Linked DNA regions of Arabidopsis thaliana. The protein of the gene in region 2 interacts with the protein of the main gene of each other region in a biochemical or structural test. Each region holds a gene or a part of one and is shown on either strand. Other genes may lie near its edges.

Region 1 (9,621 bases), on a different chromosome or scaffold from region 2:
ATGCTATCTATATTGCATCTTCTACTTGTATCAATAGCCGATGGATTACTCTATAATATGTATTTTTGTCGTGATGCAAATTTCCATTTAAGTGAGACGGTAAACTAAAGCTCTTTTGGTTTAAGATTATACTATTTGATTATGGTGGATAATACATTTGATACGAAGACTACTTCTTTGAAGATGCTGAATTAGATAAATACATTTTTATTCATTTTGAATGTTTATCTCCTATATATGGACCATGGTTATATTTTGGTTTAAGGTTGACATGTATTGTAGTCCTAAAGATTTAGATGAATTGTAGAACAACATTTTCTAAAAGAACAACATAGAGAGTTTAATTAACATGTGAGTTGAAAACTAAAACGACAGAATTTAATAGTCGAATAATCGAAATTTTAGTACTAGAGACTCTTATGTAGAGTGTTTTTTTAGCGACAAAAAAAGAGTGTTTAAAAAAAAAACGGTTATAACGTTACAAAAAACTGATTTGAATATAATATAATAGTGTATAATGAACCTTTTTTATAAGTAACATGAATGTTACTGAATATACAAAATTACAAATTAACATAATTCATGAAAAGTAAAAGTGATATATTAGATTCACTATAATTAGATCAGTGAAAAACATTCAATATTTTCTTAAAAAGTTAAACTTCCTTTTTTTTTGTAGTAAATTTTTCTTTCAGAAATCAAAAGAATTTGATTTAAATGCTCAACCTCTAAAACCCTCCAGCACTGACTTTTCATGAAAGTTGGGATGACAAATTTTCCAATTTAGCATGAATTGCATATTTGCATTCGTTGTTGAAAATGTAACCAATTGGTAATTTTCTTACGAATATCTAAAATCAGAATCATATGATAAGAACGATGAGGTGTATATATAAGACCACAGACAAAATATCTAAAGTTAAAACTGTAATTAATTAATAACCAAACCATCACTTTCAACCATATGTACTTTGATAAGTAATCTCTCCTTCTTCTTTTTTGTCTTATCTATTTCGTCACGCTTTATTCTTTCGAATTTAAATCCGTGGTAGTTTGCTAGAAACTTCGGCTAAGCACACAGTAATCAAAATTCAAAAAGTCAGATAACTAATTAACTAAGAAATTATGCATTATCTAGTTAACTTAAAAATTATATACGTAATCGAATTGAATAAATAATAAATAAAGAGAGGAGACAATTTAGATGAAGGGATCGAAGAAACAGAGAAGGATCTAGTATAGTCAATAGTTTTAAAATTTGATATGAAATGGACAGTCAGAGACTGCTTAAGAGCTAAGCAGAAAGAAAGAGATGTATGTGAAGAACTTTTCTCGAGCTCCTCAATTCTTTAATTGTTTTTATTACTGATTTGACGTTTTAATAAAACTATAGCAAAAATTACCGCAAGACGAATATTTCTCAAGAATGAGACTTTTGCTAGTTGACTTCAAACAATTTTAACCCCTCAAAATCCAACTTGATAGAGGATTAAATTGCACATAATCGCTTTGTTAAAAGTATGAAATTTGGATGTAAAAGTAAACCTAATGATTTTTTTGGAATGTATAGTAAATATATACTATTATGTTGTAATGGAGGGTTTCTGTGAAGTGTGTATGTGTGAAAGAACAACAAGTAAAAATGCTTCCAGAGCAGAGACAGAGAGTTGTGTCAGCTTCGCTCTCACATCATATTACGACATTTGAGAAATCCAACGGCGACAGTAGCCGAGCTACATAAGATACTCCATATATACTCAAAAGAGCTCTGTTTTTATGTTTTCTCTTTGATTGTTCTCTTTCCCAAATCGGTACTTACTTTTGATTGACGTCAGTCAGATTTTACTCATTACTAATTTACTATTATAAAAGTGATTTTATTCATTATTATAAAAGGGAGTAGTAAACTAGTAATATTTCAAAAATTCCACATATGATTTTGTTTTTTAAGAGTAATAAAGATTTTTTGTTATGAAATCTCTCTGGTTTTTGTCTAAAGTGTTATTATAATTTTGAAAAAGATTATTAATTCTGTTTTGTGCAATTATGATAGAGGAGTAAAATTTCCTCAGGTTACATTTTCTTGATTAGCCATAATTGTGTAAGAAGAACGGTCCAATTAAACTGTACCACGATGAATACACACACAAACCCCAAAAATTAAATCTCTGGTGGGGTAATCATCATCATGTATACGAAAGATTCGACGAACCTGACCACAATCTTCTTCTTTCATTTGTCTCTTTCTTCTATGTGCTCCCCGGAAGAATCTTAAGACTTAAAAAATAATTTACACAAAATTCTTTTGGATCTTCTTCACACCATATGGCTACCTGATCTTGATATCCTTTGTGCTTCTTCCAAGTCCTTTAGAAATCTGTCACAACCAAATTCACTTTTCAGCTTACATTTCTCTTATAATACACTTTCATGAACTTTGTAGACCAATTTAGATTCCTAGTTATTATTTAATTCAAACAGCAATTTCGGTTTGGGCCTTCTATGACTTAACCAATGTTGATATTTTAGTTGATCAGTGCTGTTTCGACCTAGAACTCAAAACCAATCGAGGCTCATTTGCACACACTGTCTTAACCTCAGCATTACCTCTTGGAATTAAGCACTGCGGTGCCGCCGAGAATAAACCGAACCCCGGAGTTGGTGGCATTCTGTAGAGCAACAGAGCGTGATTCCTCGTATGTTGTTCCACCAACCATAAAAATAACCACCTCTTGTGGCCTGTTTATCCAGAAATTTTGCAGTTTTTGATTAGTTATGTAAGTTTTCACGAATTGCAGAAATCTGTAACTATCAAACAAGTTACCTGTTTTAAGAAATTGAAAAAATTAGAGGCACATACCGTCCCTGTTGAAAATGATCTCCAACAAATGGGTAATCCACATCTCGTAATCTCCCTCTAGTTATGCTCTCCATTGTTTGAAACAGAAGAGGCTGATGTTGAGTGTAGACATTCTCAACACCCTGTATTTTTCAAGATGTCAGTAACATGACATATATATAGGGAGATATAGAATGTTGCTGGAGACGAGTTAACTCAGATACAGACCTTAAGTCCACGAGCCATGTTACGTGCTATATTCAAAAGATCTCTGTTTCCAAATAGATCACCAGTGCGCTTCTCCACACCGGCTTGTTTCAAGAGAAATTGAACTAGCTGCAGTTGCATGGCAACCAGAAAGTTATAACATGATTTGAGGGTACTTTTATCAAGTTATTCAAAAATAAAAACGAAAAGGTAAAACTACTATGGACGGAATTGCAGATAGGTTAACAAGTATAGTAGTAGCAGAGGGACAGATCAAAATCAACCTTAAAAGAGATGCAGAATAATAAAGCCACAAGAAAGAGATGCAATTTAAACTGAAAGGAAACAGATGATAGTCTGACTGTACCCCTGGTTTGTACTTGGGAGACCGTGAAGCCAATTTGTTGAACAATTGCATCAACTGAACAGGATTTTCTTTCTCATAGCGCAAAGCATATAGCATTACCAAACGCAGCCGGTCGATGTCAGACACACTTTCATTATTTAAGAGATCCGTAACTGCCTGCAAATAAGCATGAATAGAGAGTCAGAGCTCCGTGCTTACAGCAGAGTCTGCACAATTTTGCATATTTCGCTAACTTCTGCAGGTTCACTGGATTACATTCGCATGAGACTCCAAATTATTGAATGCCAAATTATTCAGTAAGAACTTCTGCAGGTTGTAGCTATTTTTTAATATATGCGACTACAAGTGAATGTTCACCACAGATATTCACTACCTCATATGCAGCTCCTTGGCCACCATTGCAAGCCAAGTCCTGCTCTGTTTGTGAAACCGTCATCAGTTTCCTTGCTTCAACTAGCTTGCTCATTTCAGTAACCAGAGTTACATGCTTTGAAACGTTGCCTTGCATCTTTTTGTACTCAGGGTAGTTGTCAACAAATCTGGCCATATCCTCTGTACAACCAACGAATTCACAGATATATAATTGTCACTAGCACGAGAATCTGTTGTTACAAAAGTTTTTGCAGAGAATAGTTTAAGACTAGCCATATTTGTACCTACTGTCTGGATATTTTGGTTACTCTTGGCCACCTGCTGAAAGTCATCTACCATTCGCTTGATGTTCATTCCAATATCCCCAAAATTTTCATACATGTTAGATTTGAAAAATGCATCTTGTTCTGATGATAAAACCACCTCCTGCCAGGATAAGAGACATATTAGCTGTAAGGTTCTCAACTAAAAAACAATGGCATTGGAGAAAACTAACCACTTGCTGATCTTTTGGAAGACTTCCAATGGATTTCAAGTCCACTTTATTATCTTGAAGTCCTATGAGTTCGTGCACCATTGCCTACAGAAAATCTCGTTAATTAGTAAGTCGTAGTCTTACAAAAAAGCAAGACAGCGGGAGGCACATCTTATATCATAGAGTAGCACAATAATTTTGTTTAGTCAAGTTACCTGATATGTCCACTGATTCAGCAATGGGGTAACCGGGTCATCTCTTCTGTCAATTACAAGTAGCAACGGAGAGCTTTCAGTCCGTCTAAAGTCAAAAAGAGCGCTTTCATGCTGATACATCAATTTCTGAAACATAAACAGCGAATTTTCAGACTATTGGATAGACACAAGTGGGAATTAGTTCCATCACATGCATGCAAAATATAGCGGGAACAAATAACTTTACGAGAGCTTGTCAAACAACTTCACTTACAGCTGTTTCGTGTGCAATCCTTTTTGCAGTATCAGAGGTCCTCTGATATCTGATGACAGGTCTTCGTTTCAACGCCAGAAACACTGCCGCAATTCCATCAACAACCCGATCGGAAAAGCGTTGCAAACCAGAGGGATCGACAACTGCGGGGATCATATATAGATGATTTGATGCCATATTCAATGTGAAATGATATGGATCACCAGAAACAAAGTCTGCATAATACTCCTGCAATATAAAAAACCACAAAGACTATGTTAAACAAGCCATTATACAGTACTATGCCGAGTGCACCAAGCAATATAAGTTTAAATCAGAAAACTAAAGACAGGTAGGGGGGATACTAAGCTCCACAAGTATGGCCGTTTCATCACAAACCAAGCAACTTCTCAGAGACAGCTAAAAATCTATACATATATTGATCCATCATATAGGCTATGAAACATTCTTTTAGCATTAGCCTCCTATTCAAAAACATCATGGATGAGGGAAGTCTAAAAATCACCTGAACTTGCTGTACAACTTCCTGCTCATCGGAATCAGCCAAAATATGAATCTGAGTATCCTTCAACAGATTGGAGAAAACTGAAAGAATTCATAACAAAAACAACATCAAATTTTGTATATTGTGAGTGAACAATGATAAACTCGAAATAGTTAGAAGATGAAAAAATCATACATAAATGGTATTCTCCAAATCTAGGATTCGCAAGCTGGTATCGTAATTTCTGAATATTATCTGAAGTTGGACGGATGAAATAAACAGCTTTCAGATGTGACATCGATTCTTTTGACACAGATATTGAATCTATCATCTCCACCAGAAACACTTCTTTCTGAAGCAGCTCTGACTGTGAATACACAATGCTTACATTGCTAACCTGCAAATTCAACAATTAATCCAATAAACAAGTAATCACGAAGATGTGTTTCCGGTTACAAGGGAAATTATGAACCACGATTCCAGAAACAAATCAGAGAAGATTAGCAATCGAAGAAGACGAGATCGGACTTTACCGTTTCGGAGTCGAGTATGAGAACCTTCATGCCGGAGATGTCCTGAAGCATCCGGTTAATGTAATCACGCACAGACGTAACCAAAACCATCGTTTCACCGCAAAATTCTGCTACTGTTACGACGTTGATTCAGATCTACGGCGACTAATCTGATGATTCTTGTTAACAATAACGCTGGCGAAGTGATTTCGCGTTCACTTTCAGATCTTCCTTTCCTTAATCGAGAAAACTAAAAGGTCCCCAGACTCGTCGACTCATACGAAGAAAAGTGTTTTTGCAAAACAAACCCTATATTTTATTGGTTATTCCTCTTTTCAACACAAACTTAATTTTTGATTAACTGAACCTAATTTGAGGGTTTATTTATTAAGTAATAAAACATCAGGGTTTTACAAAGGAAACATCTAATAGATCAGGATTTTTCCGCAAAAAAATTCAAACTTAACATTGACCCATCGTGTTGATTTTGTTCCGATCCGTCCGCTAATATAATATAATTTGGATTAGCGTCAAAAACGTGTGATTATTGTAATGCTCGATGCATCCAGCTTCATGTAGTCTCTCACTCAGGAAAGTCAAACTTAATATTCTTACAGTGAGAATGAAGCTCTCTTCTGAAAGTCCCATGGCGCCGTCAAGTCAGTCAAGTCATCGACTTTACATTTCCAGGTAAGTCTTTTTCTCTTCTACTTCATCAGTTTCTTGAGTTCAATGGAAACTACTTTACCTAACTTAGGGGAATCAGATAGGATCATAGATCATGAGAGCAATGTGGTTGAGTATGTGCATTACAGAGATCTGTATTCATCTGTTGGCTTGACATAGTGCATTTGTTTTACATATATAGTGAGAAAACAAAAACGAAGAGATTCCAAAGAAACGGATACACTCTCGATGTTGAAATGTGTGTCAACTTCTCTAGTCTGAAACTTGTTTTGTTTCTTATGATGCTGGTTGCTATGTTCACACTCTACTGTTCTCCACCGTTGCAAATTCCTGAAGATCCATCAAGTTTTGCAAACAAATGGATACTAGAACCTGCTGTAACCACAGATCCTCGCTATATAGCTACATCTGAGATCAACTGGAACAGTATGTCACTTGTTGTTGAGCATTACTTATCTGGCAGAAGCGAGTATCAAGGAATTGGCTTTCTAAATCTCAACGATAACGAGATTAATCGATGGCAGGTGGTCATAAAATCTCACTGTCAGCATATAGCTTTGCATCTAGACCATGCTGCAAGTAACATAACTTGGAAATCTTTATACCCGGAATGGATTGACGAGGAAGAAAAATTCAAAGTCCCCACTTGTCCTTCTCTTCCTTGGATTCAAGTTCCTGACAAGTCTCGAATCGATCTTATCATTGCCAAGCTCCCATGTAACAAGTCAGGAAAATGGTCAAGAGATGTGGCTAGATTGCACTTACAACTTGCAGCAGCTCGAGTGGCGGCATCTTCTGAAGGGCTTCATGATGTTCATGTGATTTTGGTATCAGATTGCTTTCCAATACCGAATCTTTTTACGGGTCAAGAACTTGTTGCCCGTCAAGGAAACATATGGCTGTATAAGCCTAAACTTCACCAGTTAAGACAAAAGTTACAACTTCCTGTTGGTTCCTGTGAACTTTCTGTTCCTCTTCAAGCTAAAGGTCAGTGACTCAGTAGTAAGTTTCTTCGTCTTTTGTATCAGCTAAATTTGACATCTCTATTCTCTCCTCCTAAGCTGATTATGATTCAATTGCAGATAATTTCTACTCGGCAAATGCCAAGAAAGAAGCGTACGCGACGATCTTGCACTCAGATGATGCTTTTGTCTGTGGAGCCATTGCAGTAGCACAGAGCATTCGAATGTCAGGCTCTACTCGCAATTTGGTAATACTAGTCGATGATTCGATCAGTGAATACCATAGAAGTGGCTTGGAATCAGCTGGATGGAAGATTCACACATTTCAAAGAATCAGAAACCCGAAAGCTGAAGCAAATGCATATAACCAATGGAACTACAGCAAATTCCGTCTTTGGGAATTGACAGAATACAACAAGATCATCTTCATTGATGCAGACATGCTTATCCTCAGAAACATGGATTTCCTCTTCGAGTACCCCGAAATCTCCACAACTGGAAACGACGGTACGCTCTTCAACTCCGGTCTAATGGTGATTGAACCATCAAATTCAACATTCCAGTTACTAATGGATCACATCAACGATATCAATTCCTACAATGGAGGAGACCAAGGTTACCTTAACGAGATATTCACATGGTGGCATCGGATTCCAAAACACATGAATTTCTTGAAGCATTTCTGGGAAGGAGACACACCTAAGCACAGGAAATCTAAGACGAGACTATTTGGAGCTGATCCTCCGATACTCTACGTTCTTCATTACCTAGGTTACAACAAACCATGGGTATGCTTCAGAGACTACGATTGCAATTGGAATGTCGTTGGATACCATCAATTCGCGAGCGATGAAGCACACAAAACTTGGTGGAGAGTGCACGACGCGATGCCTAAGAAATTGCAGAGGTTTTGTCTACTGAGTTCGAAACAAAAGGCGCAACTTGAGTGGGATCGGAGACAAGCTGAGAAAGCGAATTACAGAGACGGACATTGGAGGATTAAGATCAAAGATAAGAGACTTACGACTTGTTTTGAAGATTTCTGTTTCTGGGAGAGTATGCTTTGGCATTGGGGTGAGACTCAGACCAACTCCACCGTCGCTGCTGATTCTTCCTCCACCGCGTAAAACCGTACTACTGTGTGTGATTTTCGTTTTCTGGTTAAAATTTATTCAAACATTAGAGTAGGGGTTAAAATAACAAATACCTGATAAGTAAAGGTTCGTTTTGCAAAACACGGACTTCTAAAAATCTCATTTTCCTAATACGCACCGTTTTGTGCCTTGGTCCAAAATCAAATTAATTTCTCCTTCCCAAATCCCTAAAATGTCTCGTCTTTTGTTGTTTACCAGGCGATTATGAAATTCTCGAAACCGACCCTGGTCTTACGGAGACGATGATACCTTCCTCAAGTCCCATGGAGTCAAGACATCGACTCTCGTTCTCAAAGTTAGTCTTCGTCTTCTTCTTCTTATTCTTCATTAGTTTCTCTAGTTTCATGAACACTACGTACTATTCTTAGTTAACTTAGTAGCTTCACACACATGGTTGACTTTTCTGGAAATCAGATCTTCGATTTTGTTTTTGATTCAGAAATGTGTTTCACAAGCGATCTATGTTTATCTATCTGTTGGATTGACATAGATAATGACTCATTCGTTTGTTTTGTTGTGTGTAGTGAGAAGACAAGTAGGAGGAGATTTCAAAGAATTGAGAAGGGTGTCAAGTTCAACACTCTGAAACTTGTGTTGATTTGTATAATGCTTGGAGCTTTGTTCACGATCTACCGTTTTCGTTATCCACCGCTACAAATTCCTGAAATTCCAACTAGTTTTGGTCTTACTACTGATCCTCGCTATGTAGCTACAGCTGAGATCAACTGGAACCATATGTCAAATCTTGTTGAGAAGCACGTATTTGGTAGAAGCGAGTATCAAGGAATTGGTCTTATAAATCTTAACGATAACGAGATTGATCGATTCAAGGAGGTAACGAAATCTGACTGTGATCATGTAGCTTTGCATCTAGATTATGCTGCAAAGAACATAACATGGGAATCTTTATACCCGGAATGGATTGATGAAGTTGAAGAATTCGAAGTCCCTACTTGTCCTTCTCTGCCTTTGATTCAAATTCCTGGCAAGCCTCGGATTGATCTTGTAATTGCCAAGCTTCCGTGTGATAAATCAGGAAAATGGTCTAGAGATGTGGCTCGCTTGCATTTACAACTTGCAGCAGCTCGAGTGGC
Region 2 (7,805 bases):
AGTGGATTGGACTTGGGGAGGTTATTCTTGTCAAAGGTGTTCTAACTATGTCGTTCATTCCAAATGTGCTACAAGAAAAGATGTGTGGAACGGGAAAGAACTCGAAGGAGTTATTGAAGAAACAGAAGATATAGAGCCGTATGTGGTAATAGATGACAACACAATACAACATTTCAGCCACGAAGAGCATTACCTAAAACTCGACGACAATGGTGTTTTATGTGATGAAAACAAGCGGTGCAGCGCATGCACCCATTCCGTTTGCCTCGAATCCTTCTATGGTTGTATGGATTGTGACTTCATTCTTCACCAAAACTGTGCTAAATTTCCTAAAAGGAAACGACATGTGCTACACAATGAACGGCTTACTTTATTTACACGCGAGGCTGGTCACTTTTGGTGTAATGTTTGTGGTAGAATCTCCAATGGTTTCAGTTACCAATATGGGGATATGAAATTAGATGTCATATGTTGTTCAGTGTTGGAGCCATTTGTCCATCCAAGTCATCCCGATCATCCCTTATATTACATTTCACCAGAGATGGAAGAAGTCTGCAATGGTTGTAACATGTCGGGAACTAGAATGCTCAGGTGCATTGAAGATGGTTGTGGATTTGTCTTATGCTTCAAATGCGCCACTTTACCGCGAGTGTTAAAGCATAGAGTTGACGATTATCCTCTCTTACTATGCTATGGCGAAAAGGCAAATGGTATATATTGGTGTGAGATTTGTGAGAAAAAAATGAATCCAGAGAAATGGTTCTACACATGTAAAGATCAATGGGCTAGTTTGCACACAGAGTGTGTAGTCGGAGACTTTTCAGGGCTCATGCCAGGAAGCGTAGTAAAGGCTGAGACGGGATCATATGAGGTTGTGCTCAACAAGAATGTATCTCGCCCGTTTTGCAGGCAGTGTAAGTCGCATTGCATGTACCCTATCATCTATAAGATACCTGAAACCTCAGTTTCTTATCTTTGCTCTGATATTTGCATAAAGCGTTTTACAAAGAGAGACTGATGATGTTTAGTTTTGGGCTTTGTGTGTCACACACGTTTTTCTGTGTTCAAGAAATTATTAGGGTCGTTTGAATATTTTTCCTTTATTTTTCGTTAAGGTTTTCCGTTGAATCCTGGTCCAAGGAGGAATCGAGTCTTTGAGTATAAATAGAGTTGTATCGAGTATTTGTTCTTCAGTCTTTTGTTTTAAGAAAATCAATAAAAAAACAAAAAGAGGTAACCCTAGTTACCCAAAGAGCTTGTGTTTGCATAGCACTGAGAGGAGTACTCTCGGCTCATTGTTCTAGTTCAAGAGGACGATCATCGTCTTGCACGAGTGTCACAAAATTTTGTTTAACATGAGCCTCAAAACAACTTGTCACGAGTTTCTCTATGAGTTTATATGTCTAGGTTTGCTAATCTAAAGTGTGTGAAGCCAACGCATTCGTTTTTGTTTTATTTTTTTCTCCCTTGCACAAAAAGATCATTTTCAATTTTTCATTATGAGTTGATTACTTGATTTCCTTCATGTGTTATTGAATTTGGAGGACTAGTGATTCTTGTAGTGATTATCACATTTTCCCACTAGGTAGTTTAGTGTCAGTTTATTTCTTAACTATAGTGATTTTAACCATTTACGGTTTACACAAAATACTTCTACAGATTTGGTAAAACGATTGGAAAAGAGAATTCAACTAGAAAAAAGAGAGGGTTACTGTTTGTTACAAACAAGACAAGCTGTTTTTCATTCTAAATTGTTGGCATATGACTAAAACAAAATATTCTTAAGAATTAAAAGAACAATCATGATCAAACAGAGTACAAGGAGTATAGTTGCACATTTCACCATTGCTCCTTCTCTTTGTGTTCTCTCCGCCTATTTAAAAATTGAAATGTCTTTGTGAGTTCCATACGGTGAAAAATCTGTAGTACTCACAAAATCTTATGAGTTTTGGGTAAAGAATCAAACCTTTTGTAGTTGTTTATAGCCTTCCTCGACCGATGTAGAAACGTTTTGGACATTGTAGTCTATCCGATCAACAATCGTGCCCTAATTGATACAAGAATATAAGAAAACTAATTGTTGAGAAGCCAGCAAAAACTTTGTATCTAGCCAGTTATGTAATTCATAAGCCTTTTAATGACTAAGCTAGGCACCTGGTCAATCACAAGGGCTGATAAGTCTTTCATTATCTGTGCAAGGTCATTCACGGAACCCAGAACCTAGACAGAACTCTGAAGTTAATCGCCATCGAAAATGTGAAGCACGCAGCTTCTTAAATATGGTCGAGTAACAACTTCCATTACCTGTTGTATCTCTCGTTCCCTTTCCGCTGAGACATGTTGCCCTTCCTTCAACTTGATTGTCTGGTGTTCATCGAAACCCTACAATTTATTGAAGACCAGCGATTCTCATTATGGTATTGGCAGAGTAAGGACGACAAGGTTCTGAAGATTGATTAAAAAAAATCTGACTCGTCCTAGCATGATAACCATAAGAAGTGTTTCTTAAAAATGTAAGGAAGACAAGGATAACTGATTAAAAATCTGAATTGCTCTAGCTAGATAACCATATTAAGTCCTTATTAATTTGTCAATGATATATAGTTTTACAATACAAGTAAGCACTTACCATCCCACCAAGTTCATCCTCTTCATCCAGTCTCGACATCTTTCCATTCACATTAAACTCTAAATCTACTTCATCCTGACCCTATGATTAGAGAAGCCAAATACAAATAAGAACATCATATTACGGTACATGCATGTCTCAAGAATCAACACTTTTTTTGTTTATTTCTTGAAAATAAAGGAAACATACCTCTTTCTGCTGCTGCAGACGTTTTAAGTAAGTAGACTGTTTTCTGCGGAGCTCCATGGAAAGGTTCTGAAGATCTGTTGCAAGAGAACGCTGTCAAAAGCAGTATGCCAAAAAGTAGGTCAAGTCCATTGGAGAGCCCCACTATACATGTACACAGAACTTTATCCTCATGCTACAAACTCAAAACATAGAATAACCCAAAGTACATTATATAGAGGGAAAAAAAAACACTTCATACATTTTGCTGACTGATAATGTCAACTAGATAGGTAGTCAAAACATATGAGAGTGATTTAACCCAAAATTCCTAACTTTCTTCTCTAAAAGCACAAAAGAAAAGGTAATGACCATGCATTCTTTATTGTTAACAAGCTCGATTCTGAAAAAGTGTCCAACAACCTACCTGCACATTTTTCCTGAGATTTGATTCTTCAGAAGGCCCTCTAGTAGATAACATCTGCAATCTCTTTTCTGACTTCCTCAACAAATCTGTGATCTCATGAGTGAGCATCTCGACTTCACGATGAATCCCTTTGTTATCTCCAAATGTAGGCATAAGAGCCTTTGAATGTGCCTTTGCTAGTTCATTCATTTTGTCTCGCACCTTTTGTATATTAAAAGTTATCTCCTCAGAATCATCAACCCAAGCTGGTGGCATACCAATTGTGAAGGCATCACTACTGCAAACATTCACAACAACACTTAAATCATTTGCTCATTCTGTTACCTAATTCGTTTAGGGTTCTAATTCTGTATCTCAAATCAATCCCATGATTACAATTCGTTTCTATATATAAGTTCATAGAATTTCCCAGGTTTTGCAGAATCAAACAACACATTATATTATTACCTTGATGGACCAGGATCATAGGAATTCAAAGGAGCATAAGAGGAGTGATTGGACCGGGAAAATGAACCGCTAACCATTTCGATCACCGGACCACCGAACGAATCAGACGCCGATAAAGATAATGGAGCACGCGCGCTCTTACACGCATCCCTGTGTTTCCGGTACACCGTCGTTCGATTCCTCGTCGCCATCAATACCAAATCAATTGATTCTCAACAGAATCTCGAAAGTAAAATTTCCCGGAGAAAATAAACAAAATCGGAGCTTTTGTCGTCGGCAAAAGCAAACGAATCTGAATCGCAAAATCGTTTCTCATTAGCGCGTGTTACAGACTTAGCAACGAAGGAGAAGTATTTGGGCCTTTTTAGGCCCATTTATATATTGGGCTTATAGTCCACTTGCGCGATAGGGTCAATATAAGTGTGTGGAGCACACGTTTTAAGACGGTGGCGCAAAGACGAAAATGCCCGTAGATTCGTGGCGGCTAAAAGTCAACAGAGGGACGTTGGTGGTTCAGGGTAAAAGAGGCTATAGTGACCGGTTAGGGGTAGTTTGGTCATTGGATTTAGCTCAATAGATTCGTGTCCATGGATTCCCTCATGTCGCCAGAGAAAAAGACCACATTTAAAGGTCTTGCCTTTTTGGTGTGTTTCCTCGCACTTTCAGGCTGAACAAAGTACTGACAGATGCTAATAAATACACGGAGGAAGAATATGCTCCTTTAATTATTATCTGAGATTTTTCAATTCAAGTTCGTGTGGATTCAGAATCAAAATGGAAGAAGATTTGTTGGGCATTTGTGGGTTTGATTCGTCGAAGAAATATCGATTAGAAGAACTTGCCAAGTATCAGTCGGGTTAGTGTAAAGATCCATTCTTTTTCCCAATTGCATTTAGCTTTGTTTTAGGGTTTATGCTTTATATGCAGGTGGTTTTAATTTCTTTATCAAATTTCAATTCTTTTGGCCCTTAAGGTCTAGTGAGTTTAAATTTTGTCACTTTATGGGTAAACTTTATGTTATGTAATTGATAAAAGTTTTGTGATGGTGAAATTTTTGTTTAGGTTCATGTATTGAGTTTGAAGATGATGATGAAATGGCAGTGGATTATCCATGCCCGTTTTGCTCAGATGATTATGATTTAGTTGAATTGTGTCACCATATCGATGAGGAGCATCAACTAGACGCCAACAATGGGGTAATTGCAACTCGTATCCATCTCCCAAATCAGTTACTGTTCTTTAAACTATACATTTGAGTTTTTACATGAAGCAGTTAGTTGTAAATTTAGACTATTTATCGTGTGATGTTCATTGTTGTACTCTAATGGTTACTTTAGTAGGCAGGATTGTGATTCTGTAAGGAGAGTTGGTAGGGACTTCTTGGATTTTAGTTCACTTGGATTATTTGCTTGATGCTATGAGGAACCATTTTGTAGTTGTGAAGTGTTTGGTGTGAGAAATGAAAACAGTCTTTTGGTGATGATGAATGTAATAACTTCTCACAAATTCAGCTTTGGTTGTGATGTAGATATGTCCGGTTTGTAGCAGACGAGTGAAGATGCATATGGTTGATCACATTACCACTCAGCATAGAGATGTCTTCAAGGTATCCTTTTTTATTTACTCTTCTTGCTTTCGTTACCATTTAGTAGAAAACTTGTAAGTCTTTTTGTGCTTATTCTATATCTTGGTATGTTTTATATCGGTTATCTGACATTTGTGTTCCTTGACGAATACTTACCTTGAACAAAAGCAGAGACTTTACAAGGATGAGTCATATTCAGCATTTTCTCCAGGGACTAGGAAATACTTACAGTCTCTAATCGATGAGCCGTTGTCTACTAATCATACATCTAAAAGTGTTCTGGACCCATTATTATCATTTATATACAATCCGCCGTCACCAAAGAAGTCCAAGCTTGTACAACCTGATTCATCTAGTGAAGCAAGCATGGAAGACAATAGCTTAATAAGGGATTCAACAGAAAAGTAAGTAATTCTTTGACATTTTCTTGATTCTGCTTGCTTTATCTCATCTTCTTAAACCTTGTCTAAAGATACATTTCGTATTTCTGTGTGCTCAGAGACTGGGAATCGCCGTCTCCCTTGTCAGATACAGAGCTACTAGAGAAGGCAAAGAAGAGAGAGTTTGTACAAGGTTTAATATCATCAGCCATATTTGATCACATTTACAACTTCTAAGAGCATAAGTCTTTGTATATGAAACTCTCGCAAAGTAGTCTGTACTCTGTAGTATAAGCCAATGAGCTTCTGTTTATCGTCAAACTTCTACTTTGCTTCTTTACAGCTCATAATCCTCAAGTCACTTGAGGTCGGAGTTTCCTTAACAACCACTTCTTGCGTAGTTTCACATCTAGAGCCAAGAAAGTTTTCGCCTTGAGTTTATCTTCAAGCAGATCACAAGCATCCAATATAAGTTCATCGTCCATGTCTGGTAACGCTTGAATAGCCTCAACCGTGTCCTCTATTGACATGGTTTGGGTTTCATCAACTCGAGGCTTTTTCGGGTTTATAGGGCTTGTATCAGTATTAGCAAGTTGATCTCTTTTGTTCTTGGGGTCAAACAAAAGAGAGTTGCTATCTTCTTCCTCAGCTGAAATAGACAAATCTGTAGTACCACTGGACTTAAATTCTTGGAATTCAGTTTCAGGGTCAAACCAATCCATAGCTACAAAGCATTCGTTTTCTTCGATCCCAGAATCGCCACAGAGCACACACAGATCTTTATAGTACGGAATTGGCCGAGTCATAAATTGCCTTGCATCTCTATGAGCCTGTGATTAATTCAGACAAGAACACACATCAAAACAGAGACGAAAACACTGTAACTAACCACACAGCATAGATCAGAGCGATTAAGTTACCTTTATATAGTCTTGCCATACATTATTATCAGCTGTAACCATTTGACGCTCATTATCCCAAGCAAACCCATCTGATCGAAGAATACTCTTGATCGCGTTGAACTGTCTTCTCAGAGACTTATACCGGTTCTTCAACACATCAACATCAAAGTTAGACTCAAATTTCGCATTGAAGAGATTAACCATCTCAGTCCATGCTTGTTTCCTGAAAACACCTTCAATCTGGTTTCCTCTCCTCGCTTGGTCCAACATCAGATCAATGAAATACCGGTCCATTGGAGGATGCCAAGTAGTCCTGCACCGTGTGACACTGCTTCCTTTTGAGTTAGACCTGACTGTTGACGATTCACATATTCTGTTGTACCCATCATCTTCCTGAATCAGTGTCTTGGATTCTCCCTCACTAATACTCTCCTCAGCTGAAACATACATATTCATTCACAGGTTACTTAAGAATCTTTGATCTTTGGTGACAAGAATGTACAATGAAGGATTCAAGTAACAATCAATAGATTAAAGATTGTACCTTTGTGCTCAGACATTCCATCTGAGTAAACCAAGCACAGATCTTTGTAACAAGGTATAGACTTTATCCGAAAAGATCTCGAATCAGGATGAATCTTCAATAACCCAAAAGCAAAAACAAATCAATCCCTGAGAAGAAGACACAAAATCACAAGTAAACAAAACGCAAAACGCACCTTAAGATACTCATCCCAAACGCAGTTATCAGCAACAACCATCTGTCTAGTATCATCCCAACTAAAACCATCTTCTATCAAAAGATTATTCACAGATTTAAACAAGTTCCTCAATGTCTTATGCCTGTTTTTCAAAACATCTTTGCCATAAAGAAACTTGAACTTGGCAGTGAAGGAACAAGACATGAACTTCCAAGCTCGTTTACTAAACAAATGATCTTCAAATCTGTTGCCTTTTCTAACTTGTTCCACCATAAGCTCGATGAAATACTGATCCATTTCAGGTGTCCACACTGTTCTTAATCTCTCATTGCCGTTTCTACTGCTCATTATCTATTTCTCCCTTCTTCTTTACCTGCAAAAAAATCGATTGCAAGAACACAAATTTGAAATCGAGAAATCAAGTTATAAAATCAGAAATCAGATTCTCGTAAGAAACTGGATCAGACCCATAATAGAGATTCGACTAAATTAGCTAAAGAGCAGAGAATCTTCGCTTACAGAGAGTCAGAGCTCCGGTGAACGGGAGTTGGAGTACCGGTGAGATTTTA

The links. Proteins that work in one complex are often made in the same cells at the same time.
Region 1: the proteins of SYP42 (region 2) and VPS45 form a complex in vitro, tested with the Arabidopsis thaliana proteins (one study listed by BioGRID).

What each region holds. Positions count from the first base shown.
Region 1 is NC_003070.9:28,980,377-28,989,997, reverse strand, and holds VPS45 (vacuolar protein sorting 45), read right to left. Parts: upstream 6,065-9,621; 5' UTR 5,836-6,064; coding exon 5,746-5,835; intron 5,610-5,745; coding exon 5,408-5,609; intron 5,314-5,407; coding exon 5,234-5,313; intron 4,957-5,233; coding exon 4,729-4,956; intron 4,602-4,728; coding exon 4,476-4,601; intron 4,366-4,475; coding exon 4,282-4,365; intron 4,212-4,281; coding exon 4,070-4,211; intron 3,966-4,069; coding exon 3,787-3,965; intron 3,570-3,786; coding exon 3,414-3,569; intron 3,176-3,413; coding exon 3,068-3,175; intron 2,983-3,067; coding exon 2,861-2,982; intron 2,740-2,860; coding exon 2,608-2,739; intron 2,378-2,607; coding exon 2,317-2,377; 3' UTR 1,963-2,316; downstream 1-1,962. Other genes in the region: PGSIP2 (plant glycogenin-like starch initiation protein 2), read left to right, coding at 8,770-8,822, 9,052-9,621. UniProt on the Arabidopsis thaliana protein: Involved in the protein transport to the vacuole, probably at the level of vesicle fusion at the trans-Golgi network (TGN) and not in transport from the TGN to the prevacuolar compartment, by promoting the recycling of vacuolar sorting receptors back to the TGN.
Region 2 is NC_003075.7:968,334-976,138, forward strand, and holds SYP42 (syntaxin of plants 42), read right to left. Parts: upstream 4,010-7,805; 5' UTR 3,860-4,009; coding exon 3,669-3,859; intron 3,499-3,668; coding exon 3,222-3,498; intron 2,909-3,221; coding exon 2,819-2,908; intron 2,711-2,818; coding exon 2,630-2,710; intron 2,383-2,629; coding exon 2,305-2,382; intron 2,221-2,304; coding exon 2,155-2,220; intron 2,048-2,154; coding exon 1,967-2,047; intron 1,874-1,966; coding exon 1,766-1,873; 3' UTR 1,661-1,765; downstream 1-1,660. Other genes in the region: AT4G02190 (Cysteine/Histidine-rich C1 domain family protein), read left to right, coding at 1-1,018; AT4G02200 (Drought-responsive family protein), read left to right, coding at 4,443-4,524, 4,731-4,864, 4,926-4,967, 5,197-5,274, 5,425-5,657, 5,753-5,870; AT4G02210 (Myb/SANT-like DNA-binding domain protein), read right to left, coding at 5,987-6,463, 6,554-6,972, 7,080-7,173, 7,255-7,584. UniProt on the Arabidopsis thaliana protein: Contributes to the regulation of secretory and vacuolar transport pathways in the post-Golgi network, and to the maintenance of the Golgi apparatus and trans-Golgi network (TGN) morphologies.